Arabidopsis thaliana: one gene and its partners. The protein of the gene in region 1 interacts with the protein of each later gene in a pairwise test. Each region holds a gene or a part of one and is shown on either strand. Other genes may lie near its edges.

The links.
Region 2: the proteins of AT1G08590 (region 1) and AT3G29240 interact in a two-hybrid assay, tested with the Arabidopsis thaliana proteins (one study listed by BioGRID).
Region 3: the proteins of AT1G08590 (region 1) and LHB1B1 interact in a two-hybrid assay, tested with the Arabidopsis thaliana proteins (one study listed by BioGRID).

What each region holds. Positions count from the first base shown.
Region 1 is NC_003070.9:2,716,886-2,722,838, reverse strand, and holds AT1G08590 (Leucine-rich receptor-like protein kinase family protein), read right to left. Parts: upstream 4,302-5,953; 5' UTR 3,981-4,301; coding exon 891-3,980; 3' UTR 559-890; downstream 1-558.
Region 2 is NC_003074.8:11,189,257-11,193,569, reverse strand, and holds AT3G29240 (PPR containing protein (DUF179)), read right to left. Parts: upstream 2,308-4,313; 5' UTR 1,791-2,307; coding exon 1,646-1,790; intron 1,511-1,645; coding exon 702-1,510; 3' UTR 526-701; downstream 1-525. Other genes in the region: AT3G29230 (Tetratricopeptide repeat (TPR)-like superfamily protein), read right to left, coding at 2,965-4,313.
Region 3 is NC_003071.7:14,522,750-14,526,443, forward strand, and holds LHB1B1 (light-harvesting chlorophyll-protein complex II subunit B1), read left to right. Parts: upstream 1-1,857; 5' UTR 1,858-2,068; coding exon 2,069-2,869; 3' UTR 2,870-3,169; downstream 3,170-3,694. Other genes in the region: LHB1B2 (photosystem II light harvesting complex protein B1B2), read right to left, coding at 1-764.

The sequences.
Region 1 (5,953 bases):
AATTAGAATATAATTAAAATTTATGTTTAATTTTGCAATTTTGATTTGTATTTTATTAGTTATTTTCTAAAGTTATATTTTTTTTAGGATTGTTGTCACTGAAAATTTTAATATGTTTAACCAGCCTAGGGTTATTTTTTCTCTGTTGGCATATGTAGTTTTACCATTTTTTATAAAATTTTATGATAACAAAAAGAAAAAAAAAAGAAGAAGAAGGTAACTTGACCATTTGCTGTATATTTAATTATCTTTTGTCCCCAAAAAAATTTATATAACCATTTGGTATATATAGCAAACTCATATTTAGCATGAAAAACCAATAATTGTATTCACTCTATTTTGAGTATATCAGAGATTATTGCCAAAGACTGATTCTCATAATTACAAAATCTCGTTTTTGGATATTTGACTTTGTCATATATAGACTATAGTTGATGTAAGCAATTGCGAATCAAAAATTTTAACCGGAAATGGAAACAAATTCAGAATAGAAGAAATTAATCAAGAACATATACAATATATTTAACTTATATTTCGTTCATAAAAATTCATTTATAGAAAAAAATCAAATTTTTTTATTTATAATTATTGTATCATAAAAGATAATATTTCTCTGTGAATTGAAAGATTAATATTCCATTAAAACAAAACTAATTAAAATCTTTATTTATTATTTTTTTAGCCTCTGGTAACTACAATTTGCTGGATCAGCCATCAACAAGGGGCCTATTACAATTTTGAATCATGTCATTTGGTTCAATGGGCTTTAGTGCACCCATCAGATTTGAAAACATGGGTTTTTGATTCAGCCCAAAGTTAACTTGTTAGCCCAATGTTAAAATTAGCCCCAGCTGATGAAATGACAAAACTACCCTTATCGCCTCCGTCATCTAAATCAGCCCTACCACTGGCGAGTTTCTGAAAATCGGCAAATCCCCGGCGACTTGGCAAACACTTTTCCGGCGTGGCTTCGCCTCCGCGAGCATTGTGATGACGTCTCTAATCGATGGTCTATCCTTCGGTAGCTTCGCGGTGCAGAGAAGAGCGATTCGCAGTGCCAGGAGCATCTCTTCGATCACGTGTTTACAATCTCCGGCGATGCTCGCGTCGATCACTTCTTCCAAGCTCTCGTTCTTCTTCACCTTCCTCCGAATCCACTCAACCACGTCAATCGAATCCTCAAACGAAGGATCTATCGGCATTTTCCCAGTCACCAATTCCAGAAGCACAACGCCTAGACTGTATATATCACTCTTTTCGTCAATCTTCAGTGTGTATCCGTACTCCGGCGCTATATACCCGTAAGATCCAGCCACCATAGAAACGGTCTCGTTCTTATGAAGCATCATCTTCGCCAATCCGAAATCTGCTATCCTCGCTTCAAGGTTTGAATCGAGGAGGATGTTATTAGACTTGATGTCTCTGTGAATGATCGGAGGATAGCAATCGTTGTGCAAGTAATTGAGACCTTGAACGACTCCGACGGCGACATTGTATCGTGAGAGCCAATCTCTTAGTAAGAATTTCTCATCTTTGGAATGCAAAGCAGTTCCTAGGTTTCCATTGGGCATGTACTCGTATACCATCATCACTTCTCTCTCGTTGTGAACGTAACCTAGAATCTTCACAATGTTTCTATGTCGTAGACCACCAAGTAGGTTCACTTCTCTGAGTATGTCGTCCTCTTCATCTTCTTCTTGATGATGATCTTCGATATCATTTTGTGGTGATGGTGATCTCCACAGTTTTTTCACAGCTACAGTGAGTAATGGCCGTCTCATGACTTCTGCTTTGTAAACAATCCCTATGGCTCCCATTCCAATGATGTTTGATTCTTTGATATGTGATAAGATGTCTCCTGCAGTGAAGCACAGTCTCTGGAAAGCCACGAGTCTCCATGGCCATTCCTCCCGAGGTTTCTTGCAGAATATATACTCTCTAGCAAAGTTGCTGTAAAGATCCCATCTTGTGTATATCCATCTCCCTGCCAAGAACATCATCCCCATAGCCACGATGACTGAAGTTCCAACAATGAACCCGAAGACTGCGTGATTCACGTGAATTCTCCCTGGATTTCGGCCTTTTGCTGACAAAGCTAGGCTCTTAGAGCAAGGTGGTAGAACTCCACCGCATAAGCCATTGTTTCCCACGAGGTCTTTTGGGTCTATGGCTGCAAACAGCATGTTTGAAGGAATGGGTCCGTCGAGTTTGTTGAATGACACGTTTAACATCTCCAGTGTTGGAGAAGCTCCCAAGTCCGCTGGTATATTCCCCGTCAAAGAGTTGTTTGAGAGATCAAGAACAGCTAACATGTGCATCCCGGCTAATGCCTTAGGGATTTCTCCAACCAATTGGTTGCTCTTGAGATTTAGACTCACAAGTTTTTCAAAAGAAGCGATCCTTTCTGGGATTCCACCTGAGAAATGGTTGAAGGAAAGATCGAGGACAGACAAAGATGGACGATCTTGAATCTGGTTAGGAATTTTTCCGGCAAAGTTGTTATGTGAGGCAATGAAGGTTTGAAGATTAGGACTTGAGAAAATGGAGGAAGATAGGGATGAGAGATGATTAAATGATATGTCTATAAATGAGAGTGATGTGGATAAGGCTATATCATCTGGAATTTTACCGGTGAGGTTGTTTTTTGCGAGCTCTAGATGCTGAAGCATTGGTAAGTCACCTGAACCAGCTGGTATAGATCCGGAAATGTGATTTTTCTGGATTCGAACACGAACTAAAGTCGGACATGAGAAGATTTCCTCCGGAATCTGACCTGAGAATGAGTTGTTGAAGAGAATGAGCTTTGTGAGGTTTCTGGAATAGCACAATCCTGATGGTATATCTCCTGAAAGCTTGTTTGATGAGACGTCTAACCACTTCAATGGGGAATTTTTGCCGAGATGCACCGGTAATGAACCCATGAGAGAGTTCTGCCACAGCTCAAGAACCTCAAGGTTTGGTAATTCAGCAATTTTTGACGGAATGATTCCCGTGAGTTGATTCCTCATCAAATTTAGAAGCTGCAGATTCTTCAACTCACCTACTTCCATAGGTATTTCTCCTGTGATCTGGTTATCAGACAGATCAAGAAACACAAGAGAAGTCATACCACCAAGTTCTCGAGGAAGTTTCCCTGTGAGACGGTTCTGGTAGAGATAAACTGTTGTAAGTTGTTTCAGCTGCCCCAAAGAAGATGGAATCTGGCCTGTAAGGTTTCCAACAGCCAAATCAAGGTACTGAAGGCGCGTCAATTTCCCAAACTCTTCTGGAATCTCACCCATGAAGCCATTGTAACCAAGAATAATGGTCTCCAAGGAAGAGAGCTCACCAATCACCTTCGGTACCTTTCCACCAAAGTTGTTACCCGAAAGACCGAGAAACTTCAGATTCTTGAGATTCTTGAAAGAAGAAGGCACTGAGCCCTCGAAGTAACCTCCTCGAAAGTCCAAAACCTCAAGTGTAGTTGCGTTGCCAAGATCTTCAGGTAGAAACCCCGAAAAATTGTTGCTTGAGGCATTGACGTGTGTAAGACCAGTTGCCATTCCTAGACCATAAGGGAAGGTTCCAAAGAAGCTGTTCACACTCACATCAATGACCTTCAAAGACGTGAGATTAGAAAGAGATTTAGGAAGAGAAGACTCAAATGCGTTATTGCTGAGATCAAGGGCTTGCAGAGAAGGGAAGCTCTGAATCTGATCTGACACGTTTCCGCTGAGATTCATGTTGGAGAGAAGAAGCTTAGCCACATAGCCATTTGCATCACAGTGAACTCCTGTCCAATGACAATGAACCAACTCAGAAAATGTTGTGGCATTCTCAGGTCTCTTCCAATCTTGGAGATTATTTGAAGGATCAAAAAGGTCTGACTTGAAGGCCAACAAGATCTCTTGTTCGGAGTTTTGAAATGTTTCAGAAGAAACAAAAGGGAAAAGAGCGAAACCAATGTAATAGAAGAGGAAGAAAAGTCGAGGGATCGCCATTTTTCTCCTCTATTTCTTCACTTTTTGGCTAGTTTTATGGCATTTTTGTGCAACTGAGATTGAAGGTCCCCAAGCGAAGTTGATAATAAGAGAGTGGAAACCAAAAGCTGAAAAACAATGATTAGTCAGAATCTAATTTTATTTAATCTCTCTCAATTATTTTATCATGATTGTGTTTCTTTTTCGTTCGGTGGAATAATATGCGAGTTCCATTGGCGTCATAACAATTTGTATGATAGCAAGTAGTTCGCTTTGTTTCTGCATCTGTGACATTACATAGTAGAAAAAGTGATACAATTTCCTTGATGTTTTCATCTATCTTCGTGTGTTAAATTGTGAATTGTGTTTGAGAAAACGAAATTAGATTATAAGTTTGTTTCATATGCATACCCAAATGCTAAATTGTGAATAAAGTCGAACCGAAAATTTTGAGGAGCACTAATTCCATAACCATATCCTGAAGGATTATCTTGCTGATCTGTGCAATATCAAACAACTAAGCGGTGAGAAAGAAGATTAAAATAATGATAATGGGATATATAATATGAAGAAATCGTGGGTTTCTGAACAGCTAGCTAAATCATAAAACACTGAGTGACTTGTAAAGCTTTGTCCTCATTAGAGATTTGTGGGACAGTGAAACATGGGCAGAGAATGTGTCTCACTTACTGTCCAATATAACTATTTTCTATTCAAAGATGATGGCTAATTAGGCAAGATCAAAGTCTTTTAAGAAAACTACCATTTTAGTTCTACCTCACCAATGATTTGACACAAACAATGTTTTTTTACAAATGATTTAACTTCACTTAAATATGAGTAACTAAAGAACGCAAAGTTTTTATTGGTTATAAGGTTAGTTATATCATCCTTGGCGGTCGAGCTAGGTTGAGTTTCCGCATGTCTTCATTAGTCGGGAGAATGTTTTGTTTCGAATGGCGTCATTAAAAAAACACACATGAAAGATGATGGTCGTGAGAGAATCTTCCCACGTTGTTCCAACATAATTAAAATTAGGAAATAAGAAAGTTCATAACTCCATTGCCAAGTTGCAAGTAGCTAGGAACGTCCCATGACACCTACGTAGAGACTAGAGAGATATACATACATCAAATATATCTACTTACACATGCATTGAAAAAAAAAAATACAAATACATTAATTAAATTATTGCATTCATGTAGACATATATGTTTTTCTAGATCTTATAAACACAGATTTTAATGTTTTTCAAAATACGATTATCAGAATTTTTTTTTCTCTGTATATTAGTTTGAGTTGAGAGATTTAAGGCCATACATATGATATATGCATAAAGTTTGCATATTAATGCATTTTTAGACAAGGAGCTTCAATAAACTATGCATATGACATCAAGACGTAACTGAATATGTAGCCCTAAGTCCGTAACCGAATTTGTTTATATTCGTGTGGTTGCAACTTGTGAGTAAATATGCATGCTGATTGCGTGAAGAACAAAGTAGCATTAAGTGCTCTCACGATATCAAAATAAAGTTTAGAACCATCGAAAAGGGCCATCTATCATTTTTATTTTGTTCTTAAAATCTAAAACATATATATTCGATCGGATATACCCATTAAATGAATGAATCATGTTCACATTAGAAGAATCACCATAATTGATCCCAAAAACTATATGAAACATATTCTCGTGAGTGTATAGACTTTTTGGAGATCGATATCTTAATTAATACATCTAGCACAACTCTATATATTCTTGCGGATTAACATCTAAATTTTACGTACCTCGAGCATATATATCCATTATCGACTATCGAGTATCGACTATCGGTTCGTCCAACACATTTAATTGTTGTAGGTTTGCAAGGTAGATATGGACAGTACCTCTAATTAAAGTTCTTTGTCCTTTCAAATTTATCCTCTATTATCATATTCATAAGAAGGAAAAAATAATTGCTCAAATCTAACTTTATAATATGCCCTTTCATATT
Region 2 (4,313 bases), on another chromosome or scaffold:
TTTCTTATGATTTAGCTGATATGCACTTTGAATAATGTCCGATTGTGTTTCTCTCATTGTAATCGCTCAACTCCGTAATGACGTATTTGGTGCACAAAAAAATAGGCAGTGTTTTCAAATTTACTTAGACAAAAATAAAAGATATTTATAAGACTATTCAGCCGTCTGAATCTATATTGATGACTCTATTTTTTAACTAAGAAATCCAATTGAAGTTGCACGCAACCTCATACAACACGAAATATTTGTTAGATTTTGACTTTTTGAGATTTTCTTAGTAACCAATATAATCCATCTTCTAAAGTTGATGGACTCGTTACTTGCACAGTACTCGCCTTGAAAAAACAAATACCCGTAATAGACAAGCCGGGTAAAGAGTCACAAAATTTGAAGACTCGCAAGTACAAGGCAAGTATCAAGTACCAAAGTTGTATATGCTTCGTTTGAACATGATAAAACCATTTTTTTGTTTTGACAACCAATGGCATTGTGACTATCATTATACATTACAGTTTAGAAGATGGAGTAATTATTAAGGTTCATATGTTTTTCTTAATCTCCTTGTAATTATTTTTAGGCTATTAAACGAGAAACAAACAAATATAAATTAGTGATGGATGTTTAATACATACAGTACATTGATAAACCATACACATAGTCATACCATAAACCATTAGTGAAATGCAGTACAAAAACAAGGTTTAGATAACAGAGCCCGTTTGAGGCCCAATAAGCCCAAGAACCTCATCCCAAAGACCATGACTTTGGACAGCTGAACCAAGCTCAACAACAGTGGAGCTACAAGCAGCAACAGTCCAATACCCTCCCAAGATCTCTGCTTTTAACTGCTCTTTTTCCCAACCACAATACCCATCAAAGAATCTAAGCTCACTTCTTCCAACCAAATTCCTCTTCACCATCTCTGCAGCCAATCCTACACTCTCTCTCGTTCCATAGTACAATCCTTTCATCACTTGTCTGAATACTCCGCTCTTACCAACCTCGTTGTCTCCACCACTCCTTGGACTCACCAAGAACAACCCTTCTTCCAAAGGTCCACCAAAGAAGAGTCTTTTGTCTGAAAACGTTCCTGCCATGTCTAATATCGTTGACTTGGTCTCCTTAATAGACATCAGAGATGGACGGTTTAGGATGACTCCTATAGGACCTGAGGGTCCAACAGAGAGGAGGAGGATCACCGTCTTTTCGAAGATGTGGACACCGTCTAGCTTCTCTGTGGCGATTAGGAGGCAGCCTGTCTCTGGCTCATGGATCTTGTGTGCCCATTTGCTTCCAATTGTGATCAGTGAGGACGATGATGGCTGATAGTCCACCACCATGTCCGGGTTAGACCACGAGGGCTGATCCTTCTCGGACGTTGCAGCTTGTTCCCCTGCAACAAGCCTTGCCCTGAACTCCCTCCAATCAGCATCTGATGTAGAATTGTTGACACAATCCTTGAAGAGATCAGCATCATCTTCCAGTGGCTTCCATGAATCCGAAAGAGAACCTACTCAAACCAAAATGCTCTCATCAGCTACAATAATTTCACTCAAGACAGGCAAATTCCCAAACCAAGACATGTTATTGCGATACTCAGGCCATTCTTATAGATCAAAATGACCATGAAAGAGATCTTACTTACAATTTACAGAGATCGGAGAAGCAACCTTCCTGGTAACAAATTGGCCAGAATTTCTCTTGGGGCAAGTAAAGATTCTCGCTTTGATGAACGGGACAAGCTCTTTAACACCAGAGATTGATCTTGAGGTAAGAAAACAAGCATCCATGTTACCTTCTCTCTTTCTCTTTTTCTCTGACTCAATTCACTTTAGTTCCTATGAAGAGAAGGTAGAACAGAAAAATAACATCTAAATATAAGAGAGTGGAGAACTGTGAACCACAGGCTGAATGTATTAAGTTCTAAAGGGGTCGTCCTAGTCAGAGGAATGGGCAATGGATATACCGTAACCTTTAAGGTGTTGATGTATTTAAAGATAAACATTTCCATATGCCTTTGGATTTTGGATAAGAGACAAATCTTTTATCACCTTTTTTTTGATGATGTGTAACCCTAGTGGCCACTCAAGGTTTGCCTCTGCAGTTACTTACCCACTCCTGTGGAAAAAAAGCACGTATAATTACTACATCCACCAACTAGATAAACTTCATCCCCATAATCTCTAATCCTCTATCTCTCTTTTTTTTCTTACGTGAATCAGTAAAATTTGGATCATTCATAAAAGGGTCTTAAGAACAAGTGAATGACCATTATAACGGGTTTAGACTTTTTTTTTGGTATGATCAAAGTCATCTATTGTGGATGGAACAAATCAAGGAAGCACTATTGGTGGTCCTCTTTTCTCCATTATTTTATTACTATTTCAATGGGAATATCACTACAAAAAGGAAACTTAAGAGATCAACTCAACATCATTAAGACATTGATTCTTGTAATAAAATAAACCCCACGAGTTTTGTTCTAATTTGACCATCTAAACATCATTCTAAATAACTAGTTGGTTCATCCAAAGGTAACATCACCAGCAATACGTCATCACACTGACGTCCAATGATAATACATCACCGACAATACATCATCAGTGGAATTTTCACGAAGTCACAATATTACTCACAATGAGGTTATGTGGGAGTTTGAATGTCTTTGGTCCTGCCTAGTCTTCTCTTGTTACTGTCATCTTCAAGGTTGGTCACAGAACCTGTTATTGGATTAAGAACCAGAAACCCCATGTCTGGAGACGGGAGTTAGTATTGCAAAATCAAATTGATCTCAAGATTTATAAATTATGCTCTATATACAGTACTCGAACTCGTTACAAGGATAAAACCATCTTTGTGTTCCTTTGGAAAATGAACTACAAATTTTTGGCCTAGGCCACAGTGCTGATGCTCACAGCCTATAATCGATATAATACCTAATGATCTGGACATAAACTAAGCAGTTTATCGAACAGCAACCAGCTCACCAGGATCTGGAGGTTCAATTAAACTACCAAGCATCTGATATATTTGATCAGATTTTGGGTGTGATTTGTCGAACACTGTAAATTCATGTATCCCATCCTCCAATTCAACCGAACTAGCTCCAGATGGTTTCTCTACTCCCATACTCTTCATCTTTGATCTTATGTCAGCAACTCCTTCCCAATCCTCTGCTGCTGCATAAATATTTGACAGAAGCGAATAGTTTCCAGGATCACAAGGGTCTAATTTAACCAGATTATCCAGAACTTCCTTAGCAATATCCACCTCGTTATGCATCCTGCACGCTCCAAGAAGAGCACCCCAAATAACAACATTGGGCTCCATTGGCATTGTTTGGACAACCTTTATCGCTTCCTTTAACCGCCCTACTCGACCTAATAGGTCAACAAGACAACCATAGTGTTCAACTTGTGGAACAAGATCATATACTTTCTCCATTGAGTAGAAGTAATCTATTCCTTCATCAATGAGACCCGCGTGATTACAGGAACACAAAACAGCAATAAACGTGACTTTATCAGGCCGAATCCCTTCCCTTCTCATTCTCGAAAAAAGCTCGATTGCTTCCTTTCCGTGGCCATGAACGCCAAGACCATGAAGCATAGTGTTCCAAGACACGAGATCCTTCTTGGGTATATCGTTAAACACATCAAACGCTTTCTTTAGGTTACCACATTTTGCATACATATCAAGTAGTGCATTCAACACATAAGCATTCGAACCGAGATTAGACCTTTTCAGTATGGAGTGAATCCTCATTCCTAAACTGAGCAAACCAGACTCAGTACAAGCAGCCAAGATACTAATCACAGCCGCAGCATCAAATTTCAATCCTGAAGCCACCATTTGGTCAACTAATCTATCAGCCTCCTTCAAAAGCCCCTTCTCCGCATACCCAGCAATAATTATCGTCCAAGTGACAACATTTTTAGCAGGCAATGGCATTTTATCAAACATAACTCTAGCCATTTCCATATCCCCAGCTTTACTATAACCCATAACCATCGTCGACCAAGACACAGTATTTCTCTCAGGCATCTTCTCAAACAACTCAAACGCTTTACTCATCTCTCTACACCTAGCATAACCATCCAACATAGTATTCCAACTAATCAAATCCCTCTGAGGCATTTCATCGAACAGTCTCCGTGCATCTCTCAATTCCCCAGCTTTCACTAACCCACCAAGCATCGAATTCCAAGACACAGTATCTCTTTCACTCATCTTCTCAAACAACTTCATAGCATCTCTAACACCCAAACCACCACATCTAGAATAACAATCAATGAGAGCATTGGGTACATAAA
Region 3 (3,694 bases), on another chromosome or scaffold:
CAAGCGTTGTTGTTGACTGGGTCGGCCAAATGGTCGGCGAGGTTCTCCAAAGGTCCCTTTCCGGTGACGATGGCTTGAACGAAGAATCCAAACATAGAGAACATAGCCAACCTTCCGTTCTTGAGCTCCTTCACCTTCAACTCTGCGAAAGCCTCGGGGTCAGTAGCGAGGCCCAATGGGTCGAAGCTGCCACCTGGGTAAAGCAAGTCCTCTGCTTCTCCCAATGGACCATCTCCGGCGACTCTGTAGCCTTCAACAGCTCCCATGAGGATAACTTGAGTAGCCCAAATGGCTAAGATGCTCTGAGCGTGGACCAAGCTCGGGTTGCCCAAGTAGTCCAATCCTCCGTCGCTGAAGATCTGTGAACCGGCCTTGAACCAAACCGCTTCTCCGAACTTCACTCCGTTCCTAGCCAATAGCTCAGGGAAAACGCAGCCTAGGGCTCCGAGCATGGCCCATCTGCTGTGGATAACTTCTAGCTCACGGTTCCTGGCGAAGGTCTCTGGGTCGGCGGATAGACCAGCGGTGTCCCATCCGTAGTCACCGGGGAACTCACCGGTAAGGTAGCTCGGGGGCTCGCCGGAGAATGGACCCAAGTACTTGACTCGGTCAGATCCGTACCATGGGCTGCCTGATGGACCCTTTGGCTTGGCGACAGTCTTCCTCATGGTCACACGGCCGCTTCCGAGGACATCTGATGCGGCAGGCTTCACAGCCTTTCCGGCGAAGGCAGGGGAGGACAAAGCCATGGTTGAGGAAGCCATTATAATCTTTGTTTTTGTGTTTTCTTTTTTTTGGTTGTGACTGGTGAGAGTGATTGAAAATGGTTGGGGTATACGTCCACTTTATAGCAATGTTAAGAGTAAGGTTTGTTATCTGTGAAGTATCTGTATCTGTTTAGTGATTGGCTTATGAGATTTTGGGATTGTCGTTATCTTGTCCTATGTGTCACTCTCTAGTCCATAAGCTTTTGCTAGATTCTTTAGCTGCAACGAAAACACTTGTCATTTGTACACAAAGAAACTTTGGGGAAATTTTCAAAGATAAATGCTTGAATTATTGGAAAGAAATATTTGAAATTATTCCAATCTATTTTTTTCTTTTTCCTTGTTTTCTTTAATTCCAATCCACTTCATGCTCTCAATAATATTTTCTTTTTTTTCTTATCAAGTTTGTTTCGAACGCCAAACTACAAAGTTTTTAAGTGAAACTAGAAACACTTACCAAACAAATATATATCAATGTTATGTAAAACAATGCAGTTAGATGAAACAAAAAGTGATACGAAGTTCTTACGATCATAAGTTAATAATATAAAACCGTCGACAATGATATTAACTGATACCTTTGATTGATTTTGTTGAATGTTTTCGGCAACAAATATGACTGGTAAGTTTTTCTTGCCAATACGAATTAGAAAACATGTCTTTGAAGATGAACTGTATTTTTTTTTTTTACTTTGTTGTCATTTTAATGTACTTTCTTATCAGGATTAAATCTTCTGTAATTTAGAGTAGTTTTTTTAACAAGATAATTAACAAACTTAGAGTAATGAAAATTGAGATGTTCAGTTTTCACTCATATTTCACATTTTGGTGAAAGAGTGGGTAGTATGCAACGTTCTAAGTATGTTTGGACTTTGTATCATGTTGTTTTGATTCTTTGACGACATGTCTATTTGGGAAACACCAATGACGTGTACCTTGAGACTGATACGATTCAAAGGGATAGAAACACGTCAGATTTACAAGTGGCACGTCTTCAATGGACAATGGGTATTCCAATATGCTAAGATGCTACGAGATATCTAATTTATCTAACACAACTCAATTCCAAACCAAAAATCTGATGCCAGCTCGACAAGACAAAAAATCTAAGCTCAAAAATGTCAACAACCAATAGAAATCAAGGCATTGACGATATCACGAGATAAGCAAATTAAATCTTCAAGTTTTGCAATTCATATGTACGTTATAAATACCCAAAAACCTCACCGTAACCTAGCTATCCAATTTCATCACATCTTATTAACTAAAGAGCCTTTTACTTGCGCCACACTCTCACCGCAATGGCCGCCTCGACAATGGCTCTCTCCTCTCCTGCTTTGACCGGAAAGGCCGTTAAGCTATCCCCGGCGGCCTCCGAAGTATTTGGAACCGGCCGAATCACCATGCGCAAAGCCTCCAAGCCCACCGGTCCATCCGGCAGCCCATGGTACGGATCCGACCGAGTCAAGTACTTGGGTCCATTCTCCGGTGAGCCTCCGAGCTACCTCACTGGAGAGTTCCCCGGTGATTACGGGTGGGACACTGCCGGTCTATCCGCCGATCCCGAGACCTTCGCTAGGAACCGTGAGCTAGAAGTTATCCACAGCAGATGGGCCATGCTCGGAGCCCTAGGCTGCGTTTTCCCTGAGCTATTGGCTAGGAACGGAGTGAAGTTCGGAGAAGCGGTTTGGTTCAAGGCTGGTTCACAGATCTTCAGCGACGGAGGATTGGACTACTTGGGCAACCCGAGCTTGGTCCACGCTCAGAGCATCTTAGCCATTTGGGCTACTCAAGTTATCCTCATGGGAGCTGTTGAGGGCTACAGAGTCGCCGGAGATGGTCCATTGGGAGAAGCAGAGGACTTGCTTTACCCAGGTGGGAGCTTCGACCCATTGGGCCTCGCTACTGACCCCGAGGCTTTCGCGGAGTTGAAGGTGAAGGAGCTCAAGAACGGAAGGTTGGCTATGTTCTCTATGTTTGGATTCTTCGTTCAGGCCATTGTCACCGGAAAGGGACCGTTGGAGAACCTCGCGGACCACTTGGCTGATCCAGTCAACAACAATGCATGGGCCTTCGCTACCAACTTCGTCCCCGGAAAGTGAGTTTAATTTGTGATCGAGTTGTGTGTATCCGGTTTGTTGCATCTTGGAAATGTGATGCAGATTTCATATCTTGTAAATTACTTTGTATGTGTGTGAAATATTTAAGAAGCTTTATGATATTGATGGATCAGTCACTTACTATTTACTAATGTGCAAGAACATACTTAGACCTAATTCGGTGTTCACACAACATAGTTTGGTTCCAAGAACAGAGATAATACCAAATGATTTGATCGTACCACATCAAAGTCCAAACAAGTTTGTTTTTGTTCTTCAAAATAACTAAAATATATCTCAAACCATCCTTATATGTTTTTAACTTTTTTGTCTTTCACTTTTGGTGTGACTTCTTCAATCGGATTTTGATGTTGCATTGTTGAGAGTTTTGGTGATAAGGAATCCAAAGTCTTGGTCATAATTTTTCTCTTGTTCAAATTTAATTGCACGGAATTTTTCATGCAATTTGGGTGTGTTTGGTATGCAAATTGTCAAAGACTTTATTTTTGATAATGTAGTTCGGAGTCTTGAAAGCATTTGTAGGTCTTATGGTCGACGCTCTTGTTTTAGGTTTCTAATTAAAAAAACATGGTTAAGTTGAATGTGACTGAACTCATAAGTCATTCGAGTGACTCGCAAACCTTTGGACTCCTGTCCTCAGTGGGCATTCGCAAACAAAAACGTTTGAAACGGTCCATAACTTTTTATTTTAATTCAACGACACCATTTGCAAAAACTTTTGAACTACATAACATGGTCGATAACTTATTAATCAACGAGAGGTCTACAAAGAAGAAAAAAAAAATCACTTTGGAGAATAACGACCAG